Linked DNA regions of Drosophila melanogaster. The protein of the gene in region 3 interacts with the protein of the main gene of each other region in a pairwise test. Each region holds a gene or a part of one and is shown on either strand. Other genes may lie near its edges.

Evidence for each region.
Region 1: the proteins of CG3308 (region 3) and Hakai interact in a two-hybrid assay, tested with the Drosophila melanogaster proteins (one large-scale study listed by BioGRID).
Region 2: the proteins of CG3308 (region 3) and CG2200 interact in a two-hybrid assay, tested with the Drosophila melanogaster proteins (one large-scale study listed by BioGRID).
Region 4: the proteins of CG3308 (region 3) and CG8206 interact in a two-hybrid assay, tested with the Drosophila melanogaster proteins (one large-scale study listed by BioGRID).

The regions. Positions count from the first base shown.
Region 1 is NT_033779.5:19,580,083-19,584,399, reverse strand, and holds Hakai (hakai), read left to right. Parts: upstream 1-1,925; 5' UTR 1,926-2,029; coding exon 2,030-2,393; intron 2,394-2,496; coding exon 2,497-3,044; coding exon of another isoform or gene 3,045-3,068; exon of another isoform or gene 3,069-3,114; coding exon 3,115-3,624; 3' UTR 3,625-3,788; downstream 3,789-4,317. Other genes in the region: CG10366 (uncharacterized protein), read right to left, coding at 1-54; PCNA2 (proliferating cell nuclear antigen 2), read left to right, coding at 473-580, 715-1,374; Pmvk (phosphomevalonate kinase), read left to right, coding at 4,270-4,317.
Region 2 is NC_004354.4:13,092,476-13,096,268, forward strand, and holds CG2200 (uncharacterized protein), read left to right. Parts: upstream 1-1,823; 5' UTR 1,824-2,097; coding exon 2,098-2,198; intron 2,199-2,297; coding exon 2,298-2,858; intron 2,859-2,969; coding exon 2,970-3,030; 3' UTR 3,031-3,257; downstream 3,258-3,793. Other genes in the region: lic (licorne), read left to right, coding at 1-11, 685-903. UniProt on the Drosophila melanogaster protein: Hydrolyzes dipeptides containing N-terminal aspartate residues.
Region 3 is NT_033777.3:21,270,522-21,275,676, forward strand, and holds CG3308 (uncharacterized protein), read right to left. Parts: upstream 3,297-5,155; 5' UTR 3,010-3,296; coding exon 2,820-3,009; intron 2,315-2,819; coding exon 1,966-2,314; intron 1,916-1,965; coding exon 1,634-1,915; intron 1,573-1,633; coding exon 1,434-1,572; 3' UTR 557-1,433; downstream 1-556. Other genes in the region: Idi (Isopentenyl-diphosphate delta isomerase), read left to right, coding at 1-9, 66-521; CG3301 (uncharacterized protein), read right to left, coding at 4,880-5,059, 5,118-5,155.
Region 4 is NC_004354.4:15,737,395-15,740,927, forward strand, and holds CG8206 (uncharacterized protein), read left to right. Parts: upstream 1-1,835; 5' UTR 1,836-2,008; coding exon 2,009-2,584; 3' UTR 2,585-3,023; downstream 3,024-3,533. Other genes in the region: CG11679 (uncharacterized protein), read right to left, coding at 170-1,432.

The DNA.
Region 1 (4,317 bases), on a different chromosome or scaffold from region 3:
ATCGACATGGGGAGCCGCCGGAGCAGCGTGCATCTCCACCTGCGCGGCGGCCATCGGGGAGCTCAGCAGTTGGTTATAAATAAACAAATAAATAAATAAAGCGTAAACATATTGGATTGGATGGCTGGATCCGAGCTGGAACTGGATCTCGAACTAGAACTGGAGCCGGAACCAGTGTTGCAGATGCTGCCAGATCAGTCGGATTAAGTGATTTCAATTGGATACCCTTAAATAGAAAAGGATTAACCTACAGCTTTAAGTCAAATTCTAAGATCTATGTTCACTAGCTTCATCATCAGACATCAAATGAACTTAAATCCGCAACCGAAACTAATCTAACAAGCTTTGTTCTTAACTCCGCAGCAGTCCGGCATCTCTACACTTGCAGCGAAACAGCTGACTGGCTTCATTTTGTTTGTTTCCAATTGTGAATTTAACGGGACAGCGATTGTCAATTTTGAAAATTGGAAAAATGCTCGAGGCGCGTTTGAGTCAGACTTTGCTGCTGAAGAAGATCGTCGATGCACTAAAGGAAATCATCGCCCAGGGAACGCTGGACTGCAGTGAAAATGGTCTGGAGGTGAAGAGAATAACCCTCCATCTGTCATTTTGTTTCGAATTCCCATAAAAGCTGTTAAGTAGTTCCATTGAGACTTGGGACTGAAAATGAAAAGTTGAGATAAGAAATAAAGCTTTTACAACTCTATATTCCAGCTGCAATCGATGGACAACTCCCACGTTTCGCTGGTGGCCCTAAGTCTGGCTTCGGATTGTTTTGAAAAGTTTCACTGCGATCGCAATGTCTCGCTGGGCTTGGATCTGAAATCCCTGGGCAAGGTGCTTAAGTGCGCCAATAGCGACGATGCGGTCACCATTAAGGCCGTTGACAGACCGGAGAAGATTACGCTCAGCTTCGAGTCGGATGGCAAGGAGCGCACGGCGGACTACGAGCTGAAGCTCCTCAATCTGGACCAGGATCACATGGAGATTCCGAAAAAGGACTACACCTGCTTCATCCAGTTGCCGTCGTCAGAGTTCGCGCGCATTTGCCGGGACATGAGCATGTTCGACGAGTCCCTGACGATCGCCTGCTCCTCGAAGGGCATCAGGTTCTTGGCCAAGGGAGATCTGGGCACGGCCAACATTCAGCTGAGTGCGGGCACCGCCATGGACGTGAGCATTGAGGTGCAGGAGCCCGTGACCCAGTCCTTCGCCGGTCGCTACCTCAACACCTTCACCAAGGCCACTCCGCTGGCAGATCGCGTCAAGCTCTACCTGTCCGACGAGCGGCCACTCCTGGTGGAGTATCCCATCGAGGATTACGGCCACATTCGATACTACCTTGCACCCAAGGTGAATGACCCCGATTTCTAGCTGAAGAACTACTCAACTCAGTTATTGCATAAATTCGAGCGCAATTTAAAGCATAAGGAAAGGGGATAAACGATATTTTTAGGCAACAAATACCAAAAATCATTTTTTTTAAAGCATAGTATAAAAATATAACTTGTAATAAAAACTATTTAATTGTAATTAAAAAAACATTTTACAAATTCAAATTTATATACGAAAAAACTAATTTTAAACCTTGTTATTAATTATTATTAAGTTTTTAAGGTTATCTTAATGTAGATCTCACATTTTCTATTCAGAATACTTTTGTTTTTTCATGTTGAAGCTACAAAAGAAATTAGTAAGCTATTAATATGATACAAGAACGGTTAAATAGATGCTTATAATTATTGTTTTTTTTTATGTTTTTTTTTACATTCATTAAATTCAAATTAGTTTAAAAATAATTGAAAAACAGATAAAATTAAAATTAAACAAGTAAAAATATTGTATTTTAAACTGACCAGTGATGCCGGACCTTTTGATGGCCAGTGTTGTTAGGCGCAGACTGGTCACCCTAAGTTACTGCACGTATGTGGGAACAGCTGACAACCCTGGCCAAACGCAAATGCGGAGCTAAACAAAAACCGAAAAACTTAAAAACCGGCATAAAATCCCACGCAAGTACAAGTGAACAATGGACACCGAGGAAGTGAAGCGCGGCCGCGGACGAGGGCGTGGCACCAGGGCTCGCGGGCGCGGACGTGGCCGAGGACGCGGTCGTGGCAAGAAAATCGACGACAGCAGCATCGCCGACGCCGCAGCCCTGGCGGCCAGCAGCTGTGCAGCCCTGGAGGACAGTCCGGGAAGACTGGACGCCTCCGAAGATTCGGTCATGCAGGAGCTCGACAAGGACGGCGAACTGGAAACGCCCGGCGCTCTGGAGGAGCCCCTGCCGCACGGTGCGCTAGGAGCGGTCGCCGCCAGCGGGAACATGACTCCAGCGACGCAACAGCCACAGGTCCTGCAGCAAGTGCCACCGCCCGTGATGAGCCAAACAAGTGAGTCTCCTCCCCTATTGAATGGTTGTCCAAGATAGTTAAATTGATTAACATCTTGGCTTGACCAATTCCTTGGTATCCAAACTTGAAGCATTGAACAAAGCTATCTCGCTATCTCTCGCCCGCGCAGTCGACATGGAGGCGGACATATCGCAACTGGAGGCGCCCACTTTCACCACGCTTTCGCGCGGACCGCCGGAGCCGATGCTGCGCCTTAAGTGGAACCACAAGGTGAGCCTGATCGGCGAGAAGGTGCTGAACCCGATGATCCACTGCTGCGATCAGTGCGACAAGCCGATCCTCGTCTACGGCCGCATGATACCCTGCAAGCATGTATTTTGCCTCAAGTGCGCCCGCGCCGAGCCCATCAAGAGTTGTCCCCGCTGCACGGACAAGGTGTTGCGCGTGGAGCAGAGTGGCCTGGGCACCGTGTTCATGTGCACGCACGGCGGCAGTCGCTACGGCAGCTCCGGCTGCCGTAGAACATACCTTTCGCAACGCGACCTGCAGGCGCACATCAATCACAGACATGTGGCGCCGCAGCCGCCACCGTTGCAGCCACAGCCGCAGCTGTCAGCCATGGCGGAGCAGCCAAAAATGACGGATCTGGGCGGCGTCGGTCTGGGCCTGGAGTTGCACAAGCAGCGCAAGGCGAGTGGTAGCTATGGCTCCTAAACTAAGCTGTCCTGTCTATAAAAAAACAACCGCTTGCCCCTTGCAGCTCTCCGAGTCGTCTGTCCCCATATCCGTTTCCGCCTCCATTGCGTCCCGTCCCGTCCTGTCGCGGCTGCCACTGACCGGCGGTGTCGGTAACATCGGTAGTATTGGTAGTATACCGCCACCAGGATCCGCCGCCGCCGCCCAAAACGCCATCCACGGCGGCCACTCGACGCTCACGCTGGCCAATTTGACCAGGATCAACAATGCCAATGCGCAGGAATGTCACCAGGGCAAGGCCTCGCTGCACCACACGCTCAAGAAGGGCACGCCCCACCAGTCCGAGTCGGTGGCGGATGCCTCCTACTACAGCAGCGTGCTCGCCTCCTTTGGCAGTGCGGCCGGGAATCCGGGTTCTGGGCCACCCGGCGGTGGGGCAACAGCAGCAGCACAGCCCGCCAATCCGAGTGGCAGCCATTCCGCTGTTGGCCCAGGTGCCCTGATTGGAGGCTCCACCGACGCGCCAACTGGTGGCTCGAGTGGCAACTGGCAGCAGTCGCAATACTACAGATAGGGGGACGAAAGCGAGGGGCTAGTAACCAGGGTAGACGCTTTAACGCAGGCACGCAGGCTTTTAATTAAGTGAACAAGTGTATGTTAAGCTGAACTGAACACTATTAAAGATATTTTACGGGGTTAGGCCAACCCGAACCAAAAAATAAATGCTACTCCGGTTTTAAAGCTTGGGCTAAACTTAATTCTTAATGTAGTAGTGAAGTGGTTATCGTGGCGAACAAATCAGGATAACAATTTTATGAATACCTTTGCGGTTCTCAAGCTGAACGAAATTCAAAAATCCCGCCCGATTGGCGGCCAATCGATGACGGTACGGTTTCCACTCGAGCTGAATGAAATTCAAAAAGCCCGCTCGATTGGCCGCCTATCGATGACGATACGCTCCAGCTGGTTGCTGTTCCAGCGAAATACAAAAGGTAAACAAATGCGACTTGGAGCACAGACTTCGAATGGAGCATTAGCATAAACACAACAGGCCGCAGTGCCGGAGTCAAGTGGCAGGGCCCAGGGTGAACACAACCACATCCAGTATCTGATGAGCACAGCGTAGAACTTAGGAAATCGAGGCCACAAGCAGAAGCAGCAGGAGAAGCAGCGGTTGTGAAAGAAGTTGGCGAGCAAAAGTGAAAGTTGCGCCAGAAAAATGATGAAAATTGTACTCATCAGCGGCAAGCGAAAGTGCGGCAAGGAT
Region 2 (3,793 bases), on a different chromosome or scaffold from region 3:
AACTGCGTCAGGTGAGTGCCTACCTCTGGCTGGTAACTGTCACAAAGAGGATCTTCAAGATTTTTCCGGACAAAATATGTGTCATTTAGTCAATTTGGGATTTTAGGTCCTAATTATACAAAGGCTACCGATCCGATAATGTATTCCATCTTATCATATATGTAATGAACATTTGGATTTTTCCAATTGTGGTAGCTAAAAGCTTTTAAGAAGGGTGGAATTTCTAAAAATTTGATAATTAATAATCAATTGACACGTTTGATTGGAGCTTATGTTTTTTCACAGATAATCCGTCGAAAATAGTATAAAAATAGTAGTTATAGCCACTCATAATCATATACGAAGCAAATGCTGAGTATTATTATTTCCTGCTAATGATTTTGTTAATATTAATGTCAAGAACCAACTTTCGTTACATAACTTATTGGGGGCTCACAAATAACTATTAAGTAATTTTAATTAAAAATATAACCACTTGTTCTCAAGCACTTTACACGTACAATAAACTCTAAAAAAAACCATTAGTAATGTGCCAAGCTGCTGTGGTTATCAGAATACTAAACAAAACTATTAATAAACATACAGAATGAGGCTTTTATCAGAGGGATTTTGTAACCGATCTAAACCACAAGTTTTCGCATCGTGCGTAATTAAGAACCTATTTTTTTTTTTATTATCTTTTAGGTGGTTGAGGACAGTCCGCCGCGCCTGCCGGAGGGAACATTTTCGCCGGAATTCGAGGACTTCATCGCCGTCTGCCTGCAGAAGGAGTATATGGCAAGGCCCAACTACGAGCAGCTGCTCAAGCACAGCTTCATCGTGGAGCACCTGCAGCGCAACACGGACATCTCGGAGTTCGTGGCCAGGATACTGGATCTGCCCGACGCGCAGCCGGCGCAGTAGGTTAATGGCCGGGTAGCAGGTTAATGGTTAACCCATGGCGCCGCCCCCTTAACCCCTTAAGCCGTGCCCGTGCCCGTGTAAATTGCCGCCGTCTTCTTCTAGCATGCATTTCGTACATGTTGTGTGTGTGTCCCCCGTCTGTGTGACAGCAAAAGGAATAAAACTTTATTTGAATGGAGTCCAAGGAAACCCCAAAAACAAACCCAACAGCAATCAGCAATAAGCGTCAGCTAATCTAAAGATACAAAATGGAAAGTGCATAATTATTAATTTAAGTGAGAGAAGCAACAGCAACATAACCGTTACTAGCAAACCTGCAATATGCATAATGCAACAATCGCCTTGCAACGCTCAAAAATGGATAACCGAACCGTGCCTCCCAGCTGGCGATGCTGCTGATGTCTTGAAGCATAATACCATTTTAATATATATTTTTAAATGAGAATAGCTTAGTCAACGAAAAACAAGAACAGAAGCAAGCAAAGCATTGAATGTAAAAACGTACTAAACTTAAATGATAATTTGTGAACTTTTGAACACCAAAATAGTCGAAAAGAAAGTGTTTATAATTATAATTGTTTAACAAATATATATTACGTAAAATAGCTAAATCCTGTTGTATTTGTATGAGAAATATTCGTTGCAAATGGTGAAAATTCTCAATGTGATTGGTATCACAATCTTAAGAATTTTGTTATTGCCTAAATGGGCAAATAAAACCAAATACTCCAGCTGAAATTCAAAAATTGCGGCCGATTTCAGTGCATCATGAGTGCAACGATGCACCAAATGGAAATCGTAGATATGTATGTACATATATAGATATATGGTATCGATAGCTTTTCATCTGGTATCAGGGTTCCATTGACGTGGAGAACCTTTGCGATTTGCAAGGCATTCCCGCACTACGTGAGTTTCCTATCGATATCGAAGAACTCGCAGATACGCAGAGTATTTACTTTATACAGCTAATGGAGTGGTTAAATTTCTGGAAAATAAACCCCTTTCATGGAATTTCACCCACACCCATGCTTTTCCGGCGCCTTGTGATAAGCTCGCATGGAGGAGTTACTTGCTCCGATATTTCTGGAGCCCATCCCTAGCGGCTGGCCATAAAACCCTGATAATCTTCTGGTCGACTGGCTGAACCATCCAGTGAACCATCCATTGGCCCACGATTAGATTGCTAAAGAAATGGCCAGTGCACGGAACCTATTGTTGCTATCCTCGTCGCGTTTGCACGGCCATGGATACTTGGAGCATGCGCGCGGCCAGCTGGAGGATCTCTTCAAGAGGTAGGTGACTTACCATTTGAGATATGTACATTATTATTCTTTTACAACAAAGTGAATTCTTTCATTGGTAAATTGAACAAACCCTCCGATTCCTTGCAGTGCCAATGTGAAGACCGTGCTCTTTGTGCCCTACGCTCTGCGGGATCACGACAAGTACACTGCCACCGTGCGCGATGCACTGCAGCCGTGGGGATTCAATGTGGAGGGACTGCACACGAAGCCGGATCGCGAGCAGGCATTGCGGGAGGCACAGGCCATCTTTGTGGGCGGCGGCAACACCTTTGTGCTGCTGCGTTCGCTCTACGAGATGAAGTTGCTCGATCCGATTAGGGAACTGGTGCTCCAGCGTGGATTGCCTTACGTGGGCAGCAGTGCGGGCACAAATGTGGCAACTCGATCCATTCACACCACCAACGACATGCCGGTGGCCTATCCGCCGAGCTTTGAGGCACTCGCCCTCGTTCCCTTCAACATCAATCCGCACTATCTGGATCCGGAGGCGGGTAGTCGGCACAAGGGCGAGACGCGAGACGAGCGGCTGGAGGAGTTCGTCGCATACCATGGACTGCCCGTGCTGGGTCTTCGCGAGGGCACCAGTGTCCGGGTTCAGGGCGAGAAGGCCATCCTCCTGGGCGATCGCAATGCCAAGCTGTTCAAGGCGTAAGTACACACTTCCAATCGGACAAATTGGGTTTCATGGTTTCTTACATTCAAATAACTTTAATGTTATTTATACAATTTAAATGTAATTTATTTTCGTTTATTTTTCAGTGACGGTGGCACCGAGGAGCTAGCACCCCTAGCGGATCTCACCTTCCTGCTGCAGAAATAACCAAGCAAAACGATCGAATTAAAGAGAACATTGATGTTTATTGTACATATGCACATTCATAATTTGTTTTATTCTGCAATAACAACAATTCCTACACGTAAGCAGTACACATACAGTAGTTGTACACTATGACTAAATGTATAAAAAGTTTGGATAGAGGTATAACCCCTGACGAGTGTACATATATCTAATAAATTTTGTAATAAATTAATCGGATTTCCCCTCGTAAATCGTAATGATAAGAATTTGACTGGCAGACTTCTTATTCGATGCTAAAACTGATGTGCTGGCAAAATGATCAAATGGATAACATGGATACACTAACAATGGACATCGGCTAAATGAAACTGGCAAGCACTTAAACAATATATATATTTTTTTTTATTTACAATGGGCTTTTTCATTGCCACAAAAGCCCTGATAGCTAGCAATACTTTTGGATTGTTATTTTGTAGGCAAAGTTTCGATAGAATTATGGTTTATGTTTTCAGGCAGCCGATGCTAAGACTTAAGCTCTAACTTTTAAAGAGGAACACGGTCAAAGTAAGCACTCCCCGATTTAGACCAGTTTTTTAACAGTAATTCCTTTTTGTTTTTTGTTTTTTTTTTTGGCACACCGTCTTTGAGAGAGCCCATTTATACAGGGATTGTAACACTTTGAGGCAAGGCGGCATCTGGTTATTTGTCGTACAGCCAAATCGTTCGTTTCACTTAGATTAGTTTAGTTGTATAACACTTAGCTTAACTAGTCGTTTAAATAGGA
Region 3 (5,155 bases):
TCTCACAAGGTGAAATTAAAGGGTAATCCCCTTATTACAAGGTCCATAATCCTCTGTATCCTTAGATAACCTTCCCAAACACCTACACCAACGCGTGCTGCAGCCATCCGCTTTACGAAATCGAACAGGAACGTCAGGAGCGCAACGCACAGGGCATCCGTGTGGCCGCTCAACGACGTCTCAACTACGAACTGGGCATTCCCACAGAGGAACTGCAGCCACAGGACTTTCGCTACCTGACCCGCATCCACTACGCAGACACGGGCGACGGCGTGTGGGGCGAGCACGAGATAGACTACATCCTGTTCCTGCAAAAAGACGTGACGCTGCGTCCAAATAGCAACGAGGTCAGTGAGGTGCGCTACTTGCGCCGCGATAAGATCGACGAGGCGGTGGCGAAGTTTAGTGCCCCGCTGACACCCTGGTTCTCTCTGATTCTGCAGCATCGATTGAAACTCTGGTGGGACAATTTGCACCAGCTGGAGCAATTTGAGGACTTGAGTAATATTCAGCGCTTTTAAGTGTGCTAACCAACCAAAAATACACGTAATGACGTCTAAAAGGGGCTTTTGTTCGTTTGGGTTTCAAATTCGCTTTATTCAAATGGAAAATAGTGTGTGTCTGTGTGCGGACAATGGGCACAAAGCGGATTTTATGCAACCTCCGCGGGTCGATCAGTTCAGTACAACGCTTTTGTATATGTAAATATAACAATACATATATAGTTTGTATAGGCGCACGATATTCAATATGTTTCATAGCCTAACTAATGTGTTTGTATGTTGAATATCAAATAACTAATTAGCTTTTAAAATGATCACATTACGTTTCCCATAATCATCATCATCATCGTCATCGTCGCAACAAGAATAAATATGTACAAAAGTACGACTACAGGCTAACAGAGACACAAACTAAAAGTATTGATTCTAGCCTAAATACAGAAGAAACAAACAAAAGACAAGCTGCAGCACTTAACATTAACATATATCGCTTCGGGAGCGAGTTCGAAGCGCGCGCTTCGAGGCGTGAAGTGCAGACCCCGGGCGAATCCGGAGTCGACGTTCACGAGGCACCACCTTGGCACCGTTTCTCTGGGTACTCGAGTAAATAAAGCAATTGCTCGGAAATTCCAACAACTTAAAGCTAGACCCTGCAAACTTCGATCGATGGTTTGCACCTTTACGGCAGGGGGTGAATATATAGTTATATACGTATACGTACTTTTCGCATGCAATGGGGGTCGTATTTGTGGATGTGTGTATGTGTGGGGATCAGGATAAGCGCTTCATCCTGAATTCGATTAGTGGTTAAGGCACATAGGTATGAGTCTATCGTGAATCTCAGGCTCGTTGAATCTATAGAGTTACGGGTTTAAAGCTGCTGGGTGGCACACTTTGTCGTTCAGTTCCATGTGGCTCCTTTACCATTTTCTAGGACAAGCCAAACAGTTTCAGGGCATTAAAGGCAGTGGCCAAAGCCACCTCGTCCGGGCTTTTCTTCATGAAGGCGGCTATCATCTCTACAATGGCGGGCAAACTGCACGGCTCGTTGCGTTGGAAGGTACAATATCTGGAAGGTATTTTGAACTAATAGAAGAGTGACCTATTTTGGTACTTTTTACTTCGCCCACCTGTGTAAGTACAACAATGAGCGTTCGGTGATACCAGTCTTCACGTGTTGCGGTAGCTTGGAAGCCCTTGTGTTTGGGTACATGAAAGGAGCATCCGTCTCCACCAGTAGTCTGTCTAGCGGCAATGTGCCGTCCTCCAGCAGGCGGCGAACGCCAGTATCCGATTTGTCCTTGCACAGGTAGCCCGTCAGGCTGATGTAGAACCTCCGGTCTAGGTACTTAAGCGCCTCCTCGGCGGTGCCCATAAAACCTCTGATGATCACAGGCGGAAGATTCTCGAATCTGCGCGGGGAACAATTTAAAGTTTTGTAAACCAAATCTACGGCTCTTACTTGTCTAGTATTTCGAGTAAATCGAGCTGAGCCGACCGCTCGTGGATCAGCAGAGGTTTATTTAGCCGGATGGCCAGATGCAGCTGCTTGGCGAAGATCTGCTTCTGGGCGTCCGGTTCGGAGAAGTCCCGCTGGTAGTCCAAGCCGCAGGGGCCAATCGCCACACACTCCTGCGCCTGGGCGATGTGCTCCAGATCGAACCACGTGGCCGGCTCTTCCACGATGGACTTGGAGTCGTGCGGGTGAATGCCAGCAGTTGAGTAGATTATGTCGGGATAGATGCGCGAAAGGCGCAGCGCTTCCTTGCTCGATTTGACCGAAGTGCCGTGAACCATTAGTTTCTGGACACCTGCAACAAGAAAGGCGGGAGAAAGTTAGTGCAACGTTCACTGGGCTACAGACTTGTGTACAAAAGAGAAAATATGTGACTTCTGTTTGCTTTCGATCAGATACTCTTATCAGCATTGTAATGTATCCCTTTAAGTAAATGTATTTAAAAAACAAATTTTTTGTTGAATATCAAATCAAATATGTAAAGAGAATTTATCTCTTACATATATTTAAATGTTTATAGTTTCCTTTAAAAATTTATCCTATGCAAATATTGTTGTGTTGACATCTTGGTTATTTGGTTTTTAATCTCCAGCTACGTTCCCATTGAATTTGTAATGCCATCTCCCAGGGCACATATGTACATGCATACATATATCAAAACACAGGCACACTTGTTGCTCGCCAATAGCCCGACCTTCTGGCTGTCTGGGTGTTTTCGCAGCCTCGCCCCAGAACGAAGACACTGCCCGGGTCTTATTAATTATGCCTGCACATGTAGTATCTGATGCTGGCATACAAACCTGCGTCTCTGGCTCTCTGCACCACGGAATCCAGATCACGGCTATACTTCTTGTTGGTCAGATTCGCACCCACGTCGATGACGATCAGGTTCTCAAAGCAGTGCTTCATGTCCAATTCCAGCTGATCCTCCAGCAGCGGGGCCACGGGGGCCACCACCGTCTCCTGGGGCGTCTGTTGACTGGGGTCCATGTTCTGGATCGGAATCTTGGATCTATTATCGACGAAAATAGCTTATGACGCAGGCGATGGATTGCTGGGCTGCGACTGTGTGCGTGGGTAATTCAATTAGCTTGTTTTTGAGGGCGCAAGGAAACGCGACGGCGGTGAAAGCCGTGAAATGTGGATCTACTGAATTTGTTGGAATTTGGAAGAGTTGACCAATTCGGCAATCAATGGTCTAAAAGTTGAGAAATATTAATCTAAAAAACAATCCCGACACGAACTACAACTGCTGGCTAGAGTTGAACAACGTCTGCAGAACGGGTCAGTGCAGGTACTACACTCTGCATGCAATCGATAGTCGGAATCGATACGTAGCACCAAATTATATCGTGTTTGAATTTAAATTGTTATCAAAATAAATATTATGTAATAAAATTCAGTCCAATTATTTGATATAAATATATTTGTTTCATGTATATAGTAGAATTCCGATCATCAATAGTAACATCTTAAGACAAATAATTAAATATTTCACAATACCATACCAGAAGTCGCAACTAAATATAACTGAGTCGAATTTTTTGTTTCGGCAACAGTCATTGTTTTTGGGGATTTAAAACCCAAGCCCACACACTTGCACCGACCCCACCTTCAGTTTTGGTTAAACAAACGAACAAATGAGAATAATGTTTTCATTATATTCTTTCCAAACACCTGCAAGATTATTTAACTAAAACGATTCATTGTATTCAAGTGCGATTGTTTATTTATTTGAGTTGGCCCACACAAAGCTTGTTCATTTTTTTTTATCAAGAAACAAAGGTTTAAACAAGTTCGCCCACGGCTTGATAGTGAGTGTAATATGATATTGCACCGGCTCAATCCTCTATTCTCAGCTTGTGTATGCCGGTGTTCCATGCCACTGATTATTTACGTATCTACAATGGTTAGCAGATGCTCTAAGGGGGAAACTCATTATAATAAACACATCCAACCTACTACTTCCAACAGGCATATTATATTGAGTTCCCCTGTTGATAAACTCTTGTCGGAAGACTTCTGCAATGTACTCCTGGTGCAATGGTATCTAGAACGGTATTGTTATCAGATCATCCGAGTTTCCCTCTATCATAATGTTTTTACTTAACATCAGCACCACCCAAACTCTTATCGATTCAAGAAAATGTACCAAAAAGGGTCACCATTGGTGACATCGCAGGGGGAAAATGGAAGCCAGCTTGCTGATGGCAGTGGAGGAGTTCATCTTCTGGAGACAGTTCACCCTTTTGGCTGGAACTATCAACCACACTCCCTTGGCCATCAGCTGCAGACAGCACTCATCTGCATATGTCTTTCGGCAGTGCGACTTGTTTTCGAATTAACTCTTATCTTTTGGGTACATTTTTAAAATTATAAGCATAATCGTCTGGGGTGGATTGACTACTTAATAGATAATTCCCAATGTCGCAGTATCATTGGAATTAATTGGATTTTTTTTGGATCTGAAGAGACCATTAACAATTCCTGAATAATAAATTCCTATCTACATATATTTCGGAGTCACCCTAATCGATAAATAATAGCGAGGGTGTTTGTCTAGGTAAATTTTGATATCAAATATTCTTATTAAAAATGGGTAGATAAAGATTTATACCGGATTATTCATCATTAAAAATGTTCCCGACGAACAAACGGGTTTAATAGAAAGGCGTCTTGAACGTTGGGGTAAGCAAAAACCAGTTGAGCCCGGTTTCCATGTTGAGATAAAAGAGCGACCTTGGGTGTATTTTTTCTCTATTAATTAAACATGTACATTTTTTATTTGTTTACACTGCTATTGAAAAGATATTTGTGTATTTGTTCAAATAACTTACTTGGTCACTTGGAAGTGGTCACTTCAAAAGCCCTCACCAACCGGCTTGATTATGAGCTCCTTTATCTGGACAGTTGGGGGCGTCTGGATGCAGTAGGTCACCGCATCGGCTATATCCTCCGATCGCAGCATGGGCATGCCTGTGGGTTGCTCCCAGGATCCGGCTTCGAAAATTTCAGTGGCCACTACACCAGGACTGATGCTCTAAAATACGTACATCATTAGAAGTTCTCATGCGAACTGGATGAGCAAGGTCACTTACCGTGATCTTTGTTTGAGTGCCCTTCTTGATGAACTCCT
Region 4 (3,533 bases), on a different chromosome or scaffold from region 3:
AGTGAGAATTTTAAAATCGTAATGTTTGGTGTTTTTAACGGGCAACAACAAATTAAAAAGGACAAAAAAAAAATAGAGCACAGATCAAACAAACTTTTGGAACGCTAACAATTCTATATTTCGTCAAAATACAAATATAGTACAAAAAACTATCGACCAAGCCTACTTGCTAATTGGGAATCGAGGCGGCAGGAGCAGCCAGTGGCAGGACCTCTAGCTTATGCGAATCACTGTGATCGCTGACGAAGTGCAGCACTTCGAAGCCCACCTCTACCATGATCAGGATTATGATCATCCACTCGAGCCGGATATGATGGGCATCGTTCAGATTGTGGGACACCAGCTCGGCCAGTTCCACGCAGTGGTTGATCTTCTCGTTCATCACCTTGGTGCGCCGTGAGATGCTGAAGTAGGAGCACACCTGCAGGTAGAGTGCCTCCAGTTCCTCGCGGTCCCAGTAGAAATCGGGTGCATCCAGCAGATCCGACGACAGGTTGATCACATGACGCAGGGCAAATAATTCACCGGTTTTTCGCAGCATGGCCGCCCGCGAGATTCTTAATCGGCGACCACGCTTTAGATCCTCGGTGAGATGCTCTATGGAGTCTATGTAGCGGTCCAGTGTCGCCTCCCACATGCCCAGCTTTATTGACTGTGCCATCGCATTGGAGAAGGTGTACTTATACAGGAAACTATCCGTATCGGCGGTAACAAAGAACTTGCCATTCTGGAAGAATGCCCGTGACGTGACATTGAAGTCGCTGCTCTCCGCCACCAGATCGCCCTCCACATCCACCGCCGTCGATGGAATGTAGGTGTAGGGCATCACCTCGCTCTCCCCGTGAACCAGGGCACTCACATACGATTCCCTTTCGAAGGCGCGCAGGAAACTTAGCACATTGTTCGTCTCGATGTCGCTGCAGTTCCAAAAGACCACCGAGCCCTCGCGGAAGAAGAATATCTCCCGCGGCTGCTGACCCGTCGGATATTTGGCCGCCACAAAGAGCACATTCTGCTCCACGTCCAGATTGTCTGTGGAGAAGAAACGCTTCGTCTCGTACAGGTTCTGTTCGCGGAGGGCTATCTGCAGATCCTCCAGATTGTACTCCTCGGCGGTCGTATAACCACGGGTGTTGAGAAACCCCAAAGCGGACAGTTCATCGATGGCCAAGCGCTTCTTTCGAATGATCCTGGTGCGAATGGGCGATAGTATCGACTCCAAGCGCTCCTCGGCTAGCGGCAATGGCTTTACCCGCGGTTGCGTTTGAGTTCTAGGTACAGAAGCTGCTTGAGCTGGCGCCGCAGCCGATGAGGTGGCTTCACTGGCCAACCATCGGCGGCGGTCCATCATCCACTGCGTCTGCGTCTGCTGGCGCGGAATTCGAAGTCCTCCAAGGACCATCTGCCCGAATCTCAGGCGTGCAAAGTTCATGGCTTTTGATTTATGCTCCAGCAGCAATTAGTGGCCCATTTCTGGGAGTTGAGATCGGTTTGGTAACGAATCGTATCTGGTGGCTATATAATATAGTAGCCGGCCTCCGATTGCCTTTTGTTGTGATTATCGAATCCGATAGGCACTCAGTGGTGAACTCGGTTCTTCGGCCGTTAGTTATTTCTAAGCTATGAATTTTCATTATTGCTTGGTATTTATACTACAAATTTGGTAGTTGAAATTCTGTTATTTGCTTTTTGAAATGCTGTAACGAGTCTTCAACTCATACTACATAAACTTCTGCCAATAGAGACAAATTACTGAACCTGGATACAAAATAGCCAAAATGTGAGAACTGAATTTAAGCGGCCAACCGCCTGCACTGCTCCGATAACGATAGCCATCAGCTGTTTTCATCGCTCCACTTAACCATTTTCTTCCCCATTTGGGGCAAAACAAAACGCAGTAACTACCCCACATTCAGCACGTGCGGCGCCAGAATTCAGGACGCACTGCAGCGGGCGGCAAGAGCAGAAAGCAACGCGGATGTGCAACACCGCTTAGTAGCAACATAAAATGAACGCATTGCGCAACATCTTCACATCGCGAACTCTCAACTATTTGCGCCAGAATGGACAAAACGCGATCCTCAACGCCACCCAGCAGCAACAAGCGGTGGACGCCGTGCCGCTAACCAACGATGCCGAGCAGCACCTAAAATCGTCGCGTCCAGCACCGCTTTCCATACCGCGCTCCATACTCGATGCGTGCCATTTCACGGCCAAGCAGTTTGACCTGGGAGGCTCCACGTCCGGAAACCAGGCGAATGGCTCTCTGTCGCCGACGACACTGAAGCGCTTCCGACGCATGCAACGCCGCATGGAGCTGGTGTACCGCTGCAAGCTGTGCAACACCCGCAACACGAAGACCATCAGCGAAGAGGCCTACTACAGCGGCGTGGTGATCCTACAGTGCGACGGCTGTGCCGTCGACCATCTGATCAAGGACAATCTGGGACTGTTCACCGGCAGCGATGGCGATAGCAGCATTAGCTCTGGAATCAGTACCAGCAAGAATATCGACCAGGTGCTGGCCGACCGGCATGCCCGCGTCCGGGTGATCAAGGTGAACGAGCGCGGCGAGCTGATTTAGGAACTCTAGTCAAAGGGGCATCAGTAGAGGTGAGAACCTGGTGCCGTCAACCTGCGAATCGTGTCTGAGGAGGACACACTCGACACGGGGTGGCACATTGAACCCAAGCAACCAAGCACCCAAGTACCCAACTGCAAACCGGAATCCCACATTCTGTTTCCGAGCTCAGACGGCTGTATATAATAATTGTACTGTAATTGTTGATTGTTTCGGGCCGTGAGTAATGCCTAAAAAAGTGATTAAAGGAACGACCAGTTCAAAAGCAAAAAACAAACATTGTATATGGCTAAATCTGTTATTCCGCTGTAGACTATCTAATCAGGGTGCACAGAAAGAAAAATGTCTCATTGTTGATATAAATGTTAAAATACATATGTATATGTACAATCATCAAGTTTTGGCTACAAGCCATCAATTTTTGTCAATATACGCCGTGCCTATCTTATATTGACCAGGTTTTTTTTTCTGTGTACGCACACGCATATATACTAGACGTGCCCAGTCAAAAGTGGACTCATTTATTTATCTGGAGAGCCCTAGAAGCCGGTAGAAGCCGAAGGGGCTCGGTGGCCGCTCGCTAATTGATCGGATCGATCAAAACACAGCCGGAGTGCTAATTATCGCAACAATAAAAATTGGCACGCTGCCGGCCTGGCTACGCAATGGTGAAATGTGCCGGATTGGTAGGTATAGATACGGCTTTGGGGCTAGACACTAATGCATACCATATATAAATACATATAAGTATGAAAAACACGCCCCTGTCGAGTGATCTTTTCTGCGTCGTAAGGGGCCGCCGAATCCCTAAGAGATATGCCCCCAAATTGGCTAACAACAACGGATTTTGTGCGCTGATGGCATGTGGACGGAAGATAGTAAGCCCACGGAGTCTGTAGTTATTGCCAAGTGGTTCTACCAACTGTTACATCCATCTCTTGACATCTAAATT